Drosophila melanogaster: one gene and its partner. Changing the gene in region 2 together with the main gene of any one other region gives a genetic interaction. Each region holds a gene or a part of one and is shown on either strand. Other genes may lie near its edges. The genes, in order: Prx5 and Prx3.

Evidence for each region.
Region 1: of Prx3 (region 2) and Prx5, changing one enhances a phenotype caused by changing the other (phenotypic enhancement), as found in Drosophila melanogaster (one study listed by BioGRID).

What each region holds. Positions count from the first base shown.
Region 1 is NT_033777.3:18,164,743-18,168,991, forward strand, and holds Prx5 (peroxiredoxin 5), read right to left. Parts: upstream 2,532-4,249; 5' UTR 2,437-2,531; coding exon of another isoform or gene 2,389-2,436; intron 2,330-2,388; coding exon of another isoform or gene 1,985-2,329; 5' UTR 1,721-1,984; coding exon 1,613-1,720; intron 1,419-1,612; coding exon 1,284-1,418; intron 1,154-1,283; coding exon 824-1,153; 3' UTR 700-823; downstream 1-699. Other genes in the region: Cbp20 (cap binding protein 20), read left to right, coding at 1-34, 90-307, 432-630; CG7215 (uncharacterized protein), read right to left, coding at 1,985-2,329, 2,389-2,436.
Region 2 is NT_033777.3:17,544,632-17,548,351, forward strand, and holds Prx3 (peroxiredoxin 3), read right to left. Parts: upstream 1,901-3,720; 5' UTR 1,758-1,900; coding exon 1,725-1,757; intron 1,619-1,724; coding exon 1,552-1,618; intron 1,421-1,551; coding exon 1,279-1,420; intron 1,223-1,278; coding exon 760-1,222; 3' UTR 591-759; downstream 1-590. Other genes in the region: SF1 (splicing factor 1), read left to right, coding at 1-301. UniProt on the Drosophila melanogaster protein: Thiol-specific peroxidase that catalyzes the reduction of hydrogen peroxide and organic hydroperoxides to water and alcohols, respectively. Plays a role in cell protection against oxidative stress by detoxifying peroxides.

The DNA of each region.
Region 1 (4,249 bases), 620 kb from region 2:
GGAATTAAGCTCATATCGCGATCAGCACTTCAAGGTGAGTACATCCGAAGGCGCCACAGCAGATCTCCGACTCAATAAACCAATTGCAGGGCTCGCGCTCCGAGCAAGAGCGATCGCTCCGCGACTCGTGTACACTTTACGTGGGAAACTTGAGCTTCTACACCACCGAGGAGCAGATCCACGAGCTCTTCTCCCGCTGCGGCGATGTTCGTGTGATTGTGATGGGCCTGGACAAGTATAAGAAGACGCCCTGCGGCTTCTGCTTCGTGGAGTACTATGTCCGATCGGAGGCGGAGGCGGCCATGAGGTGAGCCATATCCATCTCTCCACGCTAGAAAAAGCCGCCTTTTTTCCGGCATTTGTAGAAGTAATCAGATGGGGTATCATTATCTCTTAACTAACTTCAACACTCTTTTCTTCTCCCACAAAAGATTTGTGAATGGCACTCGCTTGGACGACCGTCTGATTCGTGTGGACTGGGACGCCGGCTTCGTGGAGGGCAGGCAGTATGGACGCGGCAAAACCGGCGGACAGGTGCGAGATGAATACCGCACGGATTACGATGCCGGCCGCGGGGGTTATGGCAAACTGTTGTCACAGAAGATTGCACCCAACACGGACAATCGCTAGTTATTAGATAAAATGACTGTAAAGACTATAAGCCCCCCAATTAGATATTAAAGCATACCCCTTAGACATAACATCTCTAATCGCATATATATTGTACGTTTTACATAGTTCTTTTGAAGACGTAATTGATATCATTGCGGCCTAGCATTAGCATGTATGAGTTTCTAGTGTTTTCGGGCTGACTGGATTCCATTTACTTCTTGCCAATGTTGTTGGCCAGCGAGCAGCTGAGTCCGGTGCCATCGGGCTCGACATTCAGCTCGGTCACCTTGCCGTTCTCCACCACCAGCGAGTAGCGCTTTGAGCGCACGCCGCCAAGTGGTGGCAGATCGATGGTCACATCCAGGGCCTTGGTGAAACCGCCGGCGGGATCAGCTAGGAGGCGCACCTTGCCCGCGGCTCCGTGCTCCTTGCCCCAGGCGGACATCACAAAGGGATCGTTGACCGAAACGCAGACAATCTCGTCCACGCCCTGCTTGGACTTCAGCTCATCGGCGGAGCTCACATAGCCGGGCAAGTGGGTCTGTGGGTGTGGGGAAATGCATTATTCAGTTGGAATACATAAGCTGCATAAATTACACTATACTGCTGGAAGTTTCTACAATATTCGGAAACTCAAAGCAGATGACTTTGCAACTATGCTACCTACGCACCTTTGAGCAGCCTGGAGTGAAGGCGCCGGGAACGCCGAAGATGATCACCTTCTTGCCATTGACGAGATCGCCGGTGTTGATTTTGTTGGCTGGCGAGTCCTCGAACAGATCCACCGATGGCAGGGAGTCTCCTACCTGGAAATAAAGTGGGAGGCAGACAGGCGTACTTAGAGAAAAGAGGCAGCAAGATGGAGGCGATAACCTTGAAACGCTGTAATTTCTGGGTGCCGCCGCAATCAATATTTATGCAGCTCGGCACCGGCTTATGTAATGGAATCCGGACTGCCGCACAGCCGGAAATCCGCGTTTGCCGGTCAACCTGCACTTACTTTCACCATAGCTGCACTGGTTTTGGACAGGGATCGCAGTGAAATGATTTGTTGGGGCAGCGCGGAGTTAACAACTCGGCCAAGAAATTTGCACGACAGCACACGCATTTCTCCTCTCTTTCTTCTTCTCACACACACAGGCACGCACGCACACAGCCAAAGACTGCAACTGGCCGGTGGAGCGTTGCCAGACCGTCGCAAAAAAGAATATGGGCCGTGTGTTTTCAGTCAAGTCTTAATTTTTACTACCTCATATTTTTTAGTTAGTTTGTTTTTTTAAAGGGGGGAAATAAAAATATTATGCTGTAAGGATAGACTTCCATCATATTTTTGGAGGGGGTGGTGGTGGTTGGTATTGGGTCTTCAATGGCGCTATGTGGCCGCTCTGTTGACTATGCTGTCCGCCAGTCTCTCCAGGTCGTCCAGGCTCTGCTCGTTGATTTTCCGCTCGAAGTCGGCCATAAACTCATTGGTCATACGCTCAGCTAGGGGCTCCGAATAGTGCTTGCGGAATCCCCGCAGGATGCTGTCCCTTAAACAGGGCTTTATCACCACCAGATTGAGTTTGGTGCCCTCCTTGATGTTGGGATATGACGCAATTGTCTGTTCATTGTTAAGCGGTCGCCCCAACAGCAGTAGCTTTTGATTTGTAGCCGATATCTGCAGTTCCGCCTCGATCTGGTGTTTCACCTCCAGAATCGTCGATGTCGGCGCCACCTGTGTGAAATATTACCATATTAGCGACCTCACTTGATTTTGGCAAGGTTCATTCTTACCTCGATGGTGCAGTCCTTGCCCTTCAGCACCTTGATTGTTATCTGCATAGCAATTGCCGTAAAATTTATTAAAAAATTAAAAGTCAAACTCGAGAAGTCGAGCGATATAAACAATCTGTCTTTGGCGTTGCCACCTGTATTGCCACCAAGTGTCATTAGGCCAAGCGGCCCTGGTTTGTAAAACAAGTGCCGCAATATTTGCTAATATATAATTTACAAAAATATTTCCTTATATTAATATATAGTACATATATATGATTCTTGTAAATTGCCAAATGTTATTTAAAATTATTAATATTTTAATGCAGCTAGCACAAATTATGTACAAGCTATCGAAAACCACTCGAAGTTATTATTTTACAAAATTAAAGAATAATGTGAGATCAACAATTAAATAACAGTTTGTAAACATTCGGTTTATTATAATTAATAATGATCTTTAAGTCTTTCGCATTTGGCAATAAGACAGTAGAGGAGAGTAAGGTATAAAGATAGTAAATATAAATAAGTAAATAGCATAAGCAAAAGCTCGTTTTAGCTTTTAAACGGAGTCGGTAAAATCTTCCTAAAAGTAACTATCGAGGGTCGGCTGGGTCAGGCAACGCCGCCGCACGCCTGCAGCCCTGGTAACTCTATTTTCTATTGAGCACCGACAACGTTGCGTGTATAAGACAGTTTACATAAATTATTATTTACAATTGCACAGAGCGTTGATGTTGTGCGTTCTAAGCGAAAAGGTGAACTTGACCCCGGTGCCGATAGACCGCCGAGCTATTGGGTGTGAAATTCGCGAGCGAGCCTTGTGGAATTCGCACGCGAAAATCGAAGCGAATCGCAGCGATCGAAGAAATTGCAGCGCAAATAATTCGTGTAGCCTCGACGACTGAATTTTAACGCGAGAGCGGGGTGTGCGTGTGTGTGTGTGCGCTGTGCTGTGATTCTGTGTGCGTGTGCAAGCGTTTTTGTTAGAATTCGCATTTTACGCAAAGAACTAGCTTTTATCAGCAGTGAACTTGATGTTGGCGAACCTATATCGCAGCAGGGCCAAATTGAACAAGTTCTTGCAGCTTCTGGCGGTAAATTGGCGAAATAAGACCCATTAAAAACCCCCCTCTGAAAATATAACCCACAAATTAACCTCGCCCCTTGACATTCAAAGTTATATTTGTTTCCCCACTTATATATGTGCACATATATATATATAAATATATATATATTTAATAATAATTGTGTGTTTGAGTCTTGGAAGTGCAACTACAACTATTAATCGTGCCTAGTACACATTTTACTTTTACGCTCTCGACTGTCTCCGTCTCTCTCCCTCTCTGTTTCACCCCTTCCTTGCAACAACAAAACTTATGAGTACTTGCTGGGTGCCCCAACAATACTTGTGTTGATGATTGCCCATCCTTGCACCTCCAAAAAGAAATGAAAAAAAAATTTGAAAAACACCAACACCACCCAAAAGCGCTCTTCCTTCCCCATTTCTATTGGCATGTCTGGCAACCCTGGCAATTGGTCGACGGCCATTGCTTCTCAACTTGTTGCTCGTCTCGCTTGCTCTCCTCTCTCTCTCTACTCTCTTTTCAAGTACGCTCTCTCTGCGCCAGTGTTTTGGCATTTTTGTTACTTATTTTCGTTTCGAGTATAGTTTTATGCGAAATGAACAATGCCAAACAATGAAACGCCTGAAGACCTGCATAAAGTGTTGATGCTAACATTTAAATGGGAATCCGAAATTCCACATCACCGACAACACCTGTCCACTTGGAAGTTACAGCACTAATCGGAGGAACGCTGCATGAACGTGTTTTCGGTACCGTTTAGAACCGGATTTTCTATGCTAGAGAATGAGAATATG
Region 2 (3,720 bases):
GCCGGCACCGCCGGGCACTCAAGCACCGCCTCCGATGCCGCCGCCGCTGATGCCGTGGATGAGCGCACCGCAGCCTCCGCCGCCGGCAACAGAACCGCTGAATCCACCTATACCGGGCACCTTGCCACCGCTAATCCCGCCGCCACCCGGCACCAGTGCCCCGCCCATGCCGCCGTGGGGTGGTGGCGCTTACAGTGGCTGGGGCGGCGGCTATGCGCCGCCTCCACCTCCGCCCTGCGCACCGCCGCCACCAGCCTTGAGCCTGTCGCAGCCGCCGCCACCTCCACCGCCATCCGCTTGAGCTTTTGGACTTCATAAGATCGATCCTGAGAACACTCAGCTGCTCCAACGATAGTGCTCGACCCTGTGAGACTGTCCCTGCAATCAATTATGAACGTAATTTTAATCCCGGACCACATATTCGCTTTCACCATAAAAGATAACCGAGTCAAATCTACAAAACTAATTTGTATTTACGATGCTTCAAATAAAGGACGGATAAAACGATAAAACCACTAAATCGGCAGTTTTAATAGCAATTAAGCATAGTAATTAGTATGTGAAGCTGATTCTCACAAAAGAAATGCTTAATTCCCACATCTGTAAGATCGATTTATTAGGCATAATTAGTTAGTGCGATGCCTAGGGTTTTTGTTTTTAAATTGTTATACAGAAAATTCCAATCTTTATCCTCTTTATTTTGCGAGTCTTTTGGTGTAGTGAATGTTTAGGGTGTTTAAGAAATAATCAGATGATCCTCTAGCCGTGCTTGCTGAAGTACTTCTTGGACTCCTCCACATCGGGCTTAATGGTAGCCGGATTCGAGTTGGGATTCCAGTTGGCCGGGCAGACTTCTCCGTGCTGCTCGACGAACTGGAAGGCTTTGATCAGGCGCAGAACCTCGTCGACGGATCGGCCCACGGGCAAATCATTAATGGAGTACTGGCGCAGGATGCCATTGGGGTCAATGATGAAGGTGCCGCGCAGCGAGATGCCCTCCTTGTCCAGCAACACATCGTAGTCGGCAGAGATCTTCTTGGTCAAATCGGAGAGGAGCGGGTACTTCAGCTGGCCCACTCCGCCGTTCTTGCGGTCGACATTGCACCAGGTGAGATGGCTGAAGTGGGAGTCCACGGAAACGCCCAGAACCTCGGTGTTAATGTCATGGAACTCCTTGATCCTCTCGCTAAATGCAACAATTTCGGTGGGGCAAACGAATGTGCTGCAAATGGGATCGCAGATAAGGAAATAGTTCAATGCAAAGTTCAGTTTACTCACAAATCTAGTGGGTAGAAGAAGAGCACCAGGTACTTGCCCCTGTAGTCTTCCAGCTTAACCTCCTGGAAGCTGTTGTCCACCACAGCCAGACCCTTGAAATCGGGAGCAGGTTGCTGGACGCGGACTGCCGCAAGGGGAGCGGCTAAAAGGGATTAAGAAACATGTTTAGGCTAAATATTATACAAAACTTTGAAATTGGCTTTCTGCCCAGATCCCAACGAATCGTGGAATCTATCTGTTTATAGGGCTTTAATGTTGGGGATCTTAACTCACTTTGATGCAGGAGGCGGGCGGCAATCTGTTTCTGCTGACTCAGGATGGCCTTGCCCATCAGCGGCACCTAAAATGCATAATATATAAGATTCAGCATTAGAACGCGGTTTCAGCCAATTACGTAATCGCCGCGGCATGTTTTCGAACAACTCTGGGTCGTTCGACCAACTTACATTGCGAATCAGTGAGCGTGCTACGAAAGACATCTTGTTCTAATAGATAACGTTTATATAAGGCTTATATTAAGTCAGAATTTGACGGTAAGCCGGCAGAACTTTTCGTAAAAAAAGTGAAAACAAACTTGACAGCAGGGTGTAACCAGCTCTGCTTAAAGCTCAAAATACACAGGAAGCTGGCCACACAGTACTTGAGGTTGGCTATCGATAATTATGTGGCGCGATATTCAATTTCATTTTTTCAAATATTATAATTCATTTCAAATAACTTGAAAAAGTCTATTAAATACGATCAAAGATCTATTAATATTAAAAATGTGATGATCAAAAAAACTTTAACTTCTTTTCTCTGTTTATTAGTTTTACATTTAAAAGTGTTCTTTTATATATCGCTCTCTTAATCCTTGCAGACGAACATGCCTTGAAGATCAGAGATAAGCACGTATCTTCTGATCACCTCTTCACATGTGCTGCTCTGATTATATTAGAAACCACCGCCTCATATCCCTTAGAAGCCGCATACCCCTCAGAAGTCCATCTTCTTCTCCTGCCGTGTCCTTTGTGCATTGTCCACGGTGGAATGAGGCCGGCGATGGATAATGGAAAGTGTAGCAAAATATTTACCACGTACTGCACACGCCGCACAATGGTAATGAGCCTCTTACCCGGCGAACCAACCAACTATTTGCACTACATGCGTTTTGTTCGCCGCTCGTTAATCCACTAAATGCCCGAAAGCGGCTCAGTTGCCCAGGCTTTGGATTCTCTCCCTTCTCGAGGAGGGTTTGGTTTTGTCTTTTCCCGGCTACAATGCCCGATCTAGATACTTTTGTATCCAGCTAGATGCCGCCGCGTTCGGCTTGGTATGCCGAAACAATAACGATAGATACATGCGTGTCCTCAAATATTTTTGCATATTTGGTCTGAAGTTGGCAAAACATCTGACGGATTCCAAAACGCCCACACATCTCGCTCCTTGTCCGTTCCCATTTCCATTTCCATTCCCGAATCCAAGCCCATATCCACCAATGGCGCTCGACTCTCTTGCTTTCCCGCAATTAGTCAATTCCCATGTTTGCAATTTCGCTCGCCTCCCCCATTTCGCATCCCCTGCCAGGGGTGGCGCTATGCCACCCAACTCCTCAGCTCGCTCCCCCGCCATTTACAATTTTCGCTGCTTTTCATCTGTAATTTGGCGCAAATTACGCGCTCCAAGTGGCTACCAGCCCACTCGTCCTTCTTCGCATTCCATTTAACCATTCCCGAAAAAAACACTTGAAAAAATGGGTAATAACTATAATATTGTAACAAAAACTCAAAAAGACTTTTTTTTAGACAAAACAAAACTATTTTTGAGATCCATATACAAATGAATACGTTATTACTTTTTTTTAAATATAAAATTCAAGTTAACTAATATCTCCTTTAAGAAGAATGTATACCTTTCTTTTAATTTGATTCTTGAGCTTGAACTAATAATGTGTAGCACTTCTTTCTCTCAGTGTACCTGGTCGTTAACTTGTTTATGAGTTGGGGCCTCGGCACTGGGGTCATGTGGTCGTGGGCTCCGTTAAAAGGCAGCGCTAAGTAATTACGGACAGATTGGCAAGGGGTTCCGAAAAGTGTGTGTGTGTGTGTGTGTATAGCAGGGATTTCCAGGAACTCCCCGAGCACGCTTAGAAAATCCATGGCCGTGCACTAATTCCCAGACAGTTGGACTACTTTTACCAATTAAAAGTGCACGTCGCTTTGTCTGCGAGAATCCAGACCAGTTCGAATCCGGGATGGGTATCGCTATTTGTCCGATGGCCAGCCCGCCCGCAGGATTTGCGCAGATTTGCATAATTTAAACAAACACTTGAGCACTTGAGGCACCGTGCTCGTGTGCCGCTCGCGAAGGATTTGGCCAGGATGCGAAGATTCGGGGATTCTCTGTAGGCGTTGCCGACATTCACACGCACCTCGCCGTCTCTTTTCCTTCCAACTCGCTCTC